Linked DNA regions of Ovis aries. The protein of the gene in region 2 purifies or fractionates together with the protein of the main gene of each other region. This does not show direct contact. Links are inferred from orthologs where the notes say so. Each region holds a gene or a part of one and is shown on either strand. Other genes may lie near its edges.

Evidence for each region. Proteins that work in one complex are often made in the same cells at the same time.
Region 1: the proteins of POLR2B (region 2) and DNAAF10 purify together in Homo sapiens (affinity purification with mass spectrometry; 3 studies listed by BioGRID and IntAct, with this or other methods). This does not show direct contact. The link is inferred for Ovis aries from reciprocal best matches to the Homo sapiens genes POLR2B and DNAAF10.
Region 3: the proteins of POLR2B (region 2) and GPN1 purify together in Homo sapiens (affinity purification with mass spectrometry; 4 studies listed by BioGRID and IntAct, with this or other methods). This does not show direct contact. The link is inferred for Ovis aries from reciprocal best matches to the Homo sapiens genes POLR2B and GPN1.

Annotation. Positions count from the first base shown.
Region 1 is NC_056056.1:40,182,845-40,186,497, forward strand, and holds part of DNAAF10 (dynein axonemal assembly factor 10), read left to right. Parts: intron 1-506; coding exon 507-637; intron 638-3,579; coding exon 3,580-3,653. UniProt on the Homo sapiens protein: Key assembly factor specifically required for the stability of axonemal dynein heavy chains in cytoplasm.
Region 2 is NC_056059.1:73,103,979-73,107,631, reverse strand, and holds part of POLR2B (DNA-directed RNA polymerase II subunit RPB2), read right to left. Parts: intron 2,920-3,653; coding exon 2,769-2,919; intron 1-2,768. UniProt on the Homo sapiens protein: Catalytic core component of RNA polymerase II (Pol II), a DNA-dependent RNA polymerase which synthesizes mRNA precursors and many functional non-coding RNAs using the four ribonucleoside triphosphates as substrates.
Region 3 is NC_056056.1:34,651,122-34,654,774, reverse strand, and holds part of GPN1 (GPN-loop GTPase 1), read right to left. Parts: intron 3,005-3,653; coding exon 2,965-3,004; intron 2,155-2,964; coding exon 2,088-2,154; intron 1,228-2,087; coding exon 1,190-1,227; intron 1-1,189. UniProt on the Homo sapiens protein: Small GTPase required for proper nuclear import of RNA polymerase II (RNAPII). May act at an RNAP assembly step prior to nuclear import.

The DNA.
Region 1 (3,653 bases), on a different chromosome or scaffold from region 2:
ATACAAAGCAAACCCTACTCCTGTTTTATCTCTCAAAAGATCTCAAGATCAAACTACCAAGGCCCACTTTGGAAACATTCTAAATCACTTTGAATTTACTCTGTATTTAAAGCAGTATTATCAGCCTCAGAGAGTTGGGAGGTTTGGGGCCCCACCCCAGAGATACTTGTTCATTATGTCTGGGGAGGAGCCTGTGAATCTGTATTTTTTTAAGAAACATCCCTGGTGGACTCATGTGCAGAGGTCCTGGATCAGTCGTCTTTGAGGATCATTGAGTAAAGTGGGCTCAGGAGTTAGAATTCCAAGTTGAGTGATAACAGCCCTTACAGAGGCCTTGAAAGAAGCTGAAGTGTGGAGGAAAATTTGGAAGTAAATGTATAAGTTACCTTAATTGAAAAACCCTTTTTTTTAATCCAAAATCTCAATATGGCCTGCATTCTTAGATTTGAGTAGTGAACTAAACACTTGGGGTATGTGTAAGTAAGAAGCTGTGTTCTGTTGTTCAGGAATTTGGAAGCTCCAGAGGTCCCAGTGTATTCTGTAAAGGGCCATAAAGAAATTATAAACACTATAGATGGTGTTGGTGGACTTGGAATTGGGGAAGGGGCACCTGAAATTGTGACTGGCAGCCGAGATGGTAAGTCAGAATATTCTGTGTACATTAATTTTTTTTTTTAGTTAAGTCTCTGTGCAACAATATATTCTATGTGGAAGTCTTCTTCAATCCTTGACCCCCTAAATCTCTCTATTTTTTTTGATGGGCAAGTTTGATTGTATATCCCTCAATTGTTTCAGGCTCTTGGGAGATTTCGAGATAGAGGCATAGCACTTACTATTTTAGTCTTGTGCTAGTTCAGCTATTAACAACCATAGTTTCCTCTGAACCTTGAGGATTTAAAAAGTCTCTAGAAATTTTTGAGGTAGCTGACGATATACTGTGGGTGGCAGCTTTTCATTTTCTTTTTTTAAAAAGCAGAATTAGTACTTGTGAAAATTGTCATATTGACAGCTGGTTGAACACTGCAGTCTGTGGTCTTTCCGCTGAGCTTTGCAGGAAGCTTCCGGAGCTCCAACTCTGCTTTTCCCCCGCAGTGACTAACAAGCAACAGGCCTTTTGGGGTCCTGAGCTGTTGTGAATAAAACAGAGTCAGAATTTTTGTTGCTGCAGAAGGGGGACCTAAGTGATTGGTATATTTATTGGTTTGGCTAGGTTTTTTTTAATGCTCAAGACCATGAAGAAATTGTTTTCACAGAAAAGTAGAATTTAATTTTCTAACAGTTTCTTAAGAGCAGCTGTGTTTTAGAAATCAAATTATTTTTTCCAATCGTAGAAGAAGTCTGGAATATAGAAGGAAAAATTACAGTCTACCACACTAGCATAAATATCAGGTTGGTTTTCCTTTCCAGTCTAAGATACAATTTATTAATTAACACTGTATTATCAGGGTTAATATGATTGAGTTTTGTTCTTTCTTAGTCTGTTTATTTTTTTGGCTTCACCAGGGCATGCGGAATCTTAGTTCCCTGACTAGAAATGGAACCTGTGTCTTTAGTAGTGGAAGTAGGGGGTGCTAACCACTGGACCGCCAGGGAATTCACAGTTTTCTCAATTTTGTATCTTAATCTTTTTATATTTAGTGTTTTGTCATATGAGATTGCTGTTTTGGTGTGGTCTTCATAATTATCATTTTGATGCTTTATAGTATTCCATCCTATGAATGGATCACAGTTCCTTAGCGATGCCCCTGTTAATGAGCATTTGCTTTGCATGAAGGTTTTATTTGTTGTTTTGGGAGAGTGACAGTGAAATGAGTATCATCATGTATGTAACTCTTTGGAATAATCATATTTTATCACTTAAGAAACTTGTCAAACTTCCCAAGGTACCTATTTACCGTATCAACTATGGTAGATGAGGTAGATTGCTAGTCTACCCACCAGCAATTGATTCCTTTCTCCCCCTAATTTTAGAGATAAAAATGCTGTCCTGTCCTGACTTGCATTAACGTCTCTCTGTATTTGTTTTTTTAGTTAATTTTGTTTTGCAGATTGTCTATGTATGTCCTTTGTTCATTTAACTGTTACAAGCTTAATGTTACCAATTTTTATGAGTTCTGTCATGTATAACATGCGTGCTCAGGCATGTCCGACTCTTTATGACCCCTGTGGACTGTGGCCCACCAGGCTCCTCAGTCCATGAGATTTTTCAGGCAAAAATGCTAGAGTGGGTTGCCATTTCCTATTCCAGGGGATCTTCCCAACCCAGGTGTCTCCTGCACTGGCAGACAGATTCTTTACCACTGAGCCACCAGGAAAATGCATAGAGAAATTATAATAACTTGTCACATTTATAGGAAATTTATTTTTCCTTGAAGCAGCCTTTATAATGACCAACTTTATCCTTGGCCATAAATCTAGTGAAATATCTCCCCGTTTCCTGCATTTATTATCCTTTTCATGGATTTTTTTACCCTTTTTCTGTTGGGTACTTGCCTTTTAACCATTTTATTACATGTCTTTGTGTTTCTCAAAATCAGTGACACCAGTTAGTTTTCCCATAATTTGCATTAAAATGAGGGAGTTAAATTGAGAAGAATTATTGGTTACTTTTATTAACTTCTTCCCTCTTCTTTACTGCCATGGGGAAATTAAACTGAATTGTATATGAAATGGTATTCTAAAGCCTCATATAAGAAATCATAGATGCAAAAATTAGTTTATTTATATGTATAAGATGTGAGAGTTGGACTGTGAAGAAAGCTGAGCGCCGAAGAATTGATGCTTTTGAACTGTGGTGTTGGAGAAGACTCTTGAGAGTCCCTTGGACTGCAAGGAGATCCAACCAGTCCGTTCTGAAGGAGATCAGCCCTGGGATTTCTTTGGAGGGAATGATGCTAAAGCTGAAACTCCAGTACTTTGGCTACCTCATGCGAAGAGTTGACTCATTGGAAAAGACTCTGATGCTGGGAGGGATTGGGGGCAGGAGGAGAAGGGGACGACAGAGGATGAGATGGCTGGATGGCATCACCAACTTGATGGACGTGAGTCTGAGTGAACTCCGGGAGTTGGTGATGGACAGGGAGGCCTGGCGTGCTGCAGTTCATGGGGTTGCTGAGTCGGGCACAATTGAGTGACTGAACTGAACTGAACTGATATGTATAAGAAAAATGCCAATGATTATATGGGTACTAAGGAGAAAACATTAAAATGATACTTGCTTTAGTCTGAATAAATAGTACATTTGTTTTAGGCTTAAATCAAGAAAGTAAGGCATGGTTTAACTTACGTAACATTTGTGTTTGCCTTATCAGTCATACCTTGTTGACAACTTAAGAACAGTTGTTGGCTTTGTTGTGTATCTGCTAGTTGGAAATCAAGTCAGACGGTATAACATGTGGGTTATAGCTCTTATATTAAGTACAACTTGCCCAATAACAAGTCAGAAAAACATGACTGTTTTTCAGATATTGTAACAGCTATAATATCTCCATGTACATAGGAAGCCATGTGAAGAGAATGCAGAAAGAAATGCCATCATTCACTGTTAAATTTTGCCAACTCCTGTTTTTTTTCTGTCAGGAACCGTAAAGGTGTGGGACCCACGGCAGAAAGATGATCCTGTTGCTAATATGGAACCCGTGCAGGGAGAAAAC
Region 2 (3,653 bases):
AAAAAAATACTGGGAACATAGGAAGCGACAGCATGGAAACAGTGATTTAAATTTTATCGAAGAGGGTCTATAAAATTCTGTATTTCAACACAGCTGAATTTTCTTTTTACCCTGATCCTGGCTCATAGCTTCAAAACTGCTGTGGTCTGTGTTTGTTGTAGGAATGTCCATCTCTGTGTCTGATACCTTAACTCTCCACCTTCACTACCATCAGATCTCCACCTGACTTGTCCTCTCTGTGCCCTAGAGAAAAGACAGTCCCTGAATTAAAACTCTACTTGAGTCTTGGGAAGAAGAGTTTCTGCTCAGAACTGGAGACAGGGTGGAATTTAGGACTTGGACCTCTAGGCTCTCTTAGTCCCCTTCTCTCTTCTCTCCCCAACAGGCATTTCAATTCTCTGCCTTGGGTCTGTGAACTCTGCTGCTTAACACTGTCCTCTTCTGCCCCAACCTAATCCAGGCACCACCCATCCCGAGGTCACTGAAAGAGATGCCTTTCTTCAGAAAACCTTTGGGATTAGAATTTCCCCAGGAAGATGAAGGATGGAACGTTCATTGCTGGGTTTCATCTCTCCTTCTGACCCAAAACTTCCCACAAAAATGTCTCAAGAAACCTTCCCAAAACTTAGCATTCTGCCCCATTCACTAACTGCCAATTCCCATGGGCAGATAACTGGGAATCCTTGAGGGGGCATTTCTGTGTAAGAGATGTATGGAATCAGTATGATAGCCACCTTCTTTCAATACTGTGTGCAAAGAGGAATAAAAAAGAAACAACAACAGAAAATCCTAATTACTATTCTACATAAAGAAATGAGAATTTCCAACCATGGCTGACTATAGCTTATTTCACAGTTAAAAAAAAAAAAAGAGAGAAAGAAAAATTTTCAATTAAATATCTGCTACCCAATAAAACAAGATCCAAGAGAACTTTCCAGAGTTAAATGGATACGGAATTTCTCTCTAAATCAAACCTCAGAAAAGGAAAAGATGGAACTACGCAGATCACTAAAGGAAAATTGTGAATACCCAAGTTTCCCAAGCTGGAGTAGGCAAAGAGCAAAAAGAACTACTGTTGATAATGAAACAAAAGGAATCCAGCCATCCAACTACTTATTTCCACTATCACCTTAGTTTAGGACATTATTATCTGAAACTTAAGCTATTTCAAAATTTGTATCTGACTCCAGTCTCTTACCATTCCAAGTAAACACCATTTCCAAAGCAACCTTTTTAAATAACACTTTAATACATTCTTTGACAGTCTTTCCACAATTTCCCATGACAGCCAATGACATCCAAGCATGTGACAACCTAGTTCCATCTTATCTTCCACTATCAAAAAGAGATCAAGTCAAAAACAATACACTGACTACGGTGGTCCCTCCATTCCAACCACAAGCCAAATTCATGAAGTATCTCTTGCTGAAATGATTAAATATCTTTTCTCTACTAAGACAAATGCCCTTTACAGTCAGCTTAAGTCCCTCCCATCTTTTTCACTAAGCTCTGATACCAAAGCTTACGAGATCTCTTCCTTCCATAGTATTTATTTTGGAACTCTGAATATGCTATATTGTTGTCTCTCGTTTTGAAAAGACCATATAGAAAAAAATGCCATACATTAAAAAAAAACAAAGACATTTTATACCCATTTTTCCAACACAGTGCCTGAAGAGTCAATTATTTTTGTTCTCAAGAGCAAAGTCTATGCAGTAGCTCCACCTAAAATGAGAATAATACACCAGCACTTATGAGATAAGCTACGGAAAAGAGGGACTGATCTGGCAGGAAATAATAATCTTTCCCTCTGTCTACTTCTACTTCTTTTCTACCTCATTTTGGTTTTTAGTTTTCCCTGTCCCTCAAGACCGATCAAGCTGCCTCTCTACTCAAAAACTAGGAACATGGAATTCCCTGGTGGCTCAGTGGCTAGGATTCTGGGCTTTTGCTGCCATGGCCTAGGTTTGATCCCTGGTGGGGGAAATTGAGATTCCCCCAAACCATGCAGCAATAAATAGTACTTAAAAAAAAAAAACTGGGGTGGGAAGAAAGTTCATGAGGGAGGGAAATATGTATACCTATGGCTGATTTATGTTGCTGTATGGCAGAAACCAACAACATTGTAAAGCGATTATCCTCCAATTAAAAATAAATAAATTAAGGAAAAAAAACTAGGGACAGTCATTGTTTTCGACTACATACACACTTCTTTACAATCACTCAAAACTAGATTCTAAAATGATAGCCCTGCTATGATTTTAACAATGCTGAAAACATGCACATGTTTAAAAAAAAAAAAGACTACAAACTAATTTAGAAAAATTAAAAGAGCTGATATATTTGGGTGATTTCCCCTTACCTCTTATATTGATATAACAATGTATTTCATGCAACAAATAATCAAGGCAGAGGTTCTTCACCTACTTTTTCTTTCTATTACTTATACTTGGAAAGACAAAAGGAGGATTTTCTGAAGTAATATGACTATTTCTGGCTTGCTTCTCTCAGTAGCTCATCATATCTCTTGAGATTCTTCTTCCTGACTATTAAATACCTACTATCTGAATAGGAATTAACAGTTCTGCATTACTCGCAAAAATGCATCTCTCCACTAGTAAGACTAAATCAGGAGCTGATAGAAACTGTTGAAAGTACACTACAGAAAGTACACCTTTCTTTTTTAACCTTTAAGCCAGGTGAGAAAAGGACTGAAATTTCAAATCAATACCCTTATTTATGTTACTTTATTAAAATAACCATCTTACCGGTTCTTCAACTTCTCCACTAGCATGCTGAGCTTCAGCTTGTAGGTCTATAGGTGGAGCATCTTCCACAATTCTTTGAACAGACATCTGAATAAACTCATCAAAAGAATCCAGCTGTTGTCTCACCAAACCTTTCTCATCAAAATAGGAACTGGGAAAATATGAGTTTACAATCAGTTACAACTCACTAATGTTTTCTAGCATATTTCCCCATTTTCACTATCATTAAATTCAACAAATATTAATCATAAAATAGAAATCACTCTGTACCCATCACTATATAAAATACTATCATGTATCTAAAAAGGCGATGAGACTAGGAACACTTTCTTTGTCGAACTTATTGTTAAGTCTGTGGAAATGAGACTTATACCTGTGGGTAGAATTACTAAAACACAACGTAAGAACTATAAGGAAGCCCTAACTTATAAATATCCCTTATAAACTTTATCCAACCTCTCTGAAACATTTCTTGAAACTAAAGAAAATGTATAGTCAAAGAGAAAAACATTAACAGGGATGGGCCATGAGACTATTAAGAGAAATAAACAGGAGAAAATCAGATAGCACATGATTTCACTCATACATGGAATCTTAAAAACAAAGGGAAAAAACCCAAACCCAAAACAACAGACAAACAAAACAAAAAAAACTCACAGACATAGAGAACAGAAAAGAGGTTACCAGAGAGAGAAGGTGGTTAGCTTTATAGGTGAAATGGGTGATGGGGGTAAAATGTAAGGTGATACAAATGATGGATGATAACTAGACTGTGGCGTTGATCCCTCTGTGGTATATTCAGATGTTGAACTATAATGCTGTACACCTGAAACTTATATAACAAAAAAAAAGCATGGAAAAAAAAAGAAAAATAAGAACTTTAAT
Region 3 (3,653 bases), on a different chromosome or scaffold from region 2:
TAATGTGTACTGGAAACTTATTTTTTAAAAAAAGGCAAAAAATTCAAACAGCCATTTCTCCAAATATATACCAATGGCTAAGAAGTACATTAAAAGATGCTCAACATCATTAATCATTTAGGAAATACATACCATAAACACAATGTGACACCACTTCATACCCACTAAGATGGCTCTAATCAAAACCAGTAATAAGTACTGATAAGTATGTACAGAAAATGGAACCCTCAATGCATGTATGTTGTAAAATGGTGCCTGCAGCTACCAGGAGCTTGGAGAAATAGGGAAAAGAATGAATGCTAATGAGAATGGGGTTCTTTTGGAGATGAAAATGTTCTGAAATCAGGTGATTATGATCAATGCACAACTTTGTGAATATACCAAAAACTACTAAACTGTATACTTTTAAAGAGTACACATTATGGTCTGGGAATTCATACTGTAACAAAGCTGTTACTTTTAAAAAACTACTCCTATATGATCCTTTTTTTGTAAAAACACCTTATCCAGCCATCCTTCTATCTATGTACATATAAACAGAAACACCTGGGATGATAAATCACTGCTACTATATCCTCACAGTAGCAATAATGATAATGATTGTTATTTCTAATGATAAGAAGGGTGATAGATTCCTATTTTAAATCTATGCATGGTATGAAATAGTCACAGTAATGTCTATACTCTTTTTACAAAAACAAATTATCTTCCTTTCTTTTAAAAAAGCAAACCTATTAAAAATTTAACAACAGTTGTTAATCACAGACAATGATAATAAGAATATTACTCTATTTTATTTTTTAATACTTTTTAAATTAAAAAATAGTCTCTCTGAATCATGTGAATTATATTACTGTAAACAAGGATTAGAAAGGTATTTCAGACACTTTAATGCCAACAAGCAAGAGAAGGCAACTGAACAAGTGAGTTGACTCAAATTCTAAAGATACCTCCTAAGAAGCCAGAACCATATTCCAAAGTGATTGGGGATGGGATTCTATTAAACTAAGCTCCACACTGTAGAGCATCTCAATAACTTGTCTTCTTGACCACAGTTTTCTTCACTTGTCATGGTTTCATCTCAAACTTCACTCTTTCAAAACTTGATAGTATCCCAAAATCTTTCAAAAAAACTTTGAAACACATCTACTACAGAGTAATAAATAGGCATTAGACTGAAATCACTTACTTAGATGTGTTCTGAGCCTTCTCAATAAATTTCATCACCTAAAAGAGAAAGATGTCAATTACAACAGAATCCAAGTTCAACAGAAAAAAATTACAGGGCCCTGTCCAGAGTGGCCCACCTCACAGGCACCATTAACAACTGAATCTCTATGTTGTCCATCTGAGGACACCAACTAACATGTTCATGGAACTAAAGAAACAAAGCCACACCTGCAGCACCACAACACCCTGGAGCACAGGGCAAGCACCTGAGGAGCTGAAGACTTGGATCTGTCAGTCCCAAGTCTCTTTCTTGGTGCTTTGGTAAAATGTTAACAGCTTGTCTCACTGAGTGAAACCGAGGTTAAAAAAAATAGTGATGCAAAACTCTCTTAAGGAAGTGGAATGTGACAGAAAAAACCTAATAGATGATGACAACTATCTGCTACAAGTGAGAAGCCCCATAATCATTCCATTCTCTTCCTGGCAGACCTTCCCACTCCCCATCCCTCCAACCCATCCTTGGGGTAAAACTGCACAGATGAAGAATAGAACCTGGGGGCATTCCATGGCGGTCCCGCGGTTAGGACTCTGTGTTTTCAATGCCAAAGACCCAGGATTCAATCCCTGGTTGGGGAACTAAGATCCTGCAAGCCACATGGCCGAAAAAAAAAGGAGAGCAAAAGAACTCAAGTCTCTTAGGTGTCTGCTTTGTTGGCTGCCACAAACATTCAGTGTGAAGTCTCTCGCCATGTTGATCATCCTCACATAGCCTACTTCTCTGTCCACCAAAATACCTCCTTATGTTCTATATGGACATCCAGATGGATTGCCCTTCTTTCCCAATGTGATCAAGCTAAGGCATTTAAGAGTCACAAGTTTTAACACAGCCATGTTTATGTAAATAGAGACAGATATACCTGATCAAATCTGGTAGCAAAGAGATTAAGTGAGGTCACTATGCCACCATTAGGTCCAAGTCCATACCTAGACATTAAGTTAAGGATTTAAATTGCTTATAGATCAATTTAGATGATAAAGTTTATTATCTTGACAATCCCTCATACACACACACACACACACACACAAACCCAGCATAACATTAGTGTTCCATTGACTAAAATGTACCACACAATCTTAACCTCATAGGGAAACACTCATTATTGATGTCTACCTCATTCATTTATTGTTTAACAATGGCCACGTAAAATGGGGCCAAATGGAATGGACAGATATTTCAGGCATTGACAGTCTGAGAGCATTAGCCATGAAGATCGTCTATGTACCACTCCTTGCTCTGATTCTCACTCTTCAAGTCACCTGAGGATTGGAGTCAGTCTTCCTACTCAGTAGGACCTAAAGGGAAAATACACATTTTATGGGCAATGTACTAAGAGCTGACCAACCCAAAACTTACAGTTGATCTTACTAACCTTTGAGTTTCCCAGTCTAAAGAGATGGTGACCAATAGCTGTATCCACCAAGGCAATACTACCTTGTGGACCCAGGCACACCACCAGCTAGCCGCTGATCCTCTGTGCTAATCACAACATCCTGCAGTTTGGGACAAAGGCAGAAAATGGAACTCACAAGCTGAAATAGGATGTCTAATCACCTACAATGCCTCTCCTCATATTCATCATCCCTCCTCTTTATAAAGTTACTAGAAAACTATCAAATGCTTTTGCTAGTATACTTCACAAGGAAAGGCACAGATATTTTTTCAAAGCTATACAATACACAGAAAGTAACTAACCAGGGATGAGCCAACAACAAAGTAGATGTAGAAAAGGATACTGTTTCATGACTTCTTTATACTTCACAGTGTCACGAATGTCTGCAGGGGGTGGAAAAAACAAAGAAATGGAATTTAACACATAAGAAACAATACAATTTGAGACTCTCTATAATATCTAAGCTAATTGACTTCTCAAGTTATCTCTGCTTCCTCTGAGGAAATAAATCAGTTTCTCTCTTAGCATCCAAGTCACTTTTCAAATCTGTTTCCTAAATTTTCAAGCTAAGATCACTGAATTGTGATAGCAAAAGCAGCAAGTTCAGGAACAGACTAGGAGGACAAAAGGTACCCTGGAAGTATCTTCCCTCCCGACAAGAAACTGAAACCAGCTTTTGAAGCTTCTATGCTCAGCACTGTCTGTTAGTAACTTCTCCAGCTTCACACTGGTTTACTTCCTTATGGTCACGGATAACTGCCAAGTAACCCAAGAAGGTTAGGCTAGGAGCTCTCCGGTTACAGTAGGGATGGTCTGAGATGAAAAGAAAAGTTCTATACGACTTAAGTACTTTCTCAGTGACCATATATATAGAAAAAGGGAGTTAAATCAAGAAAAAAGGCTTATTCTTTACTCCTCACTTACTGGTAACTAAGTTAAAGCAGATAACATTTTTATAAAGGCATTAACTTGGGGAGTGGATGTCAGGGAGAGAAATAAGTGATGGAGATTAAGAGGTACAAACTTTCAGTT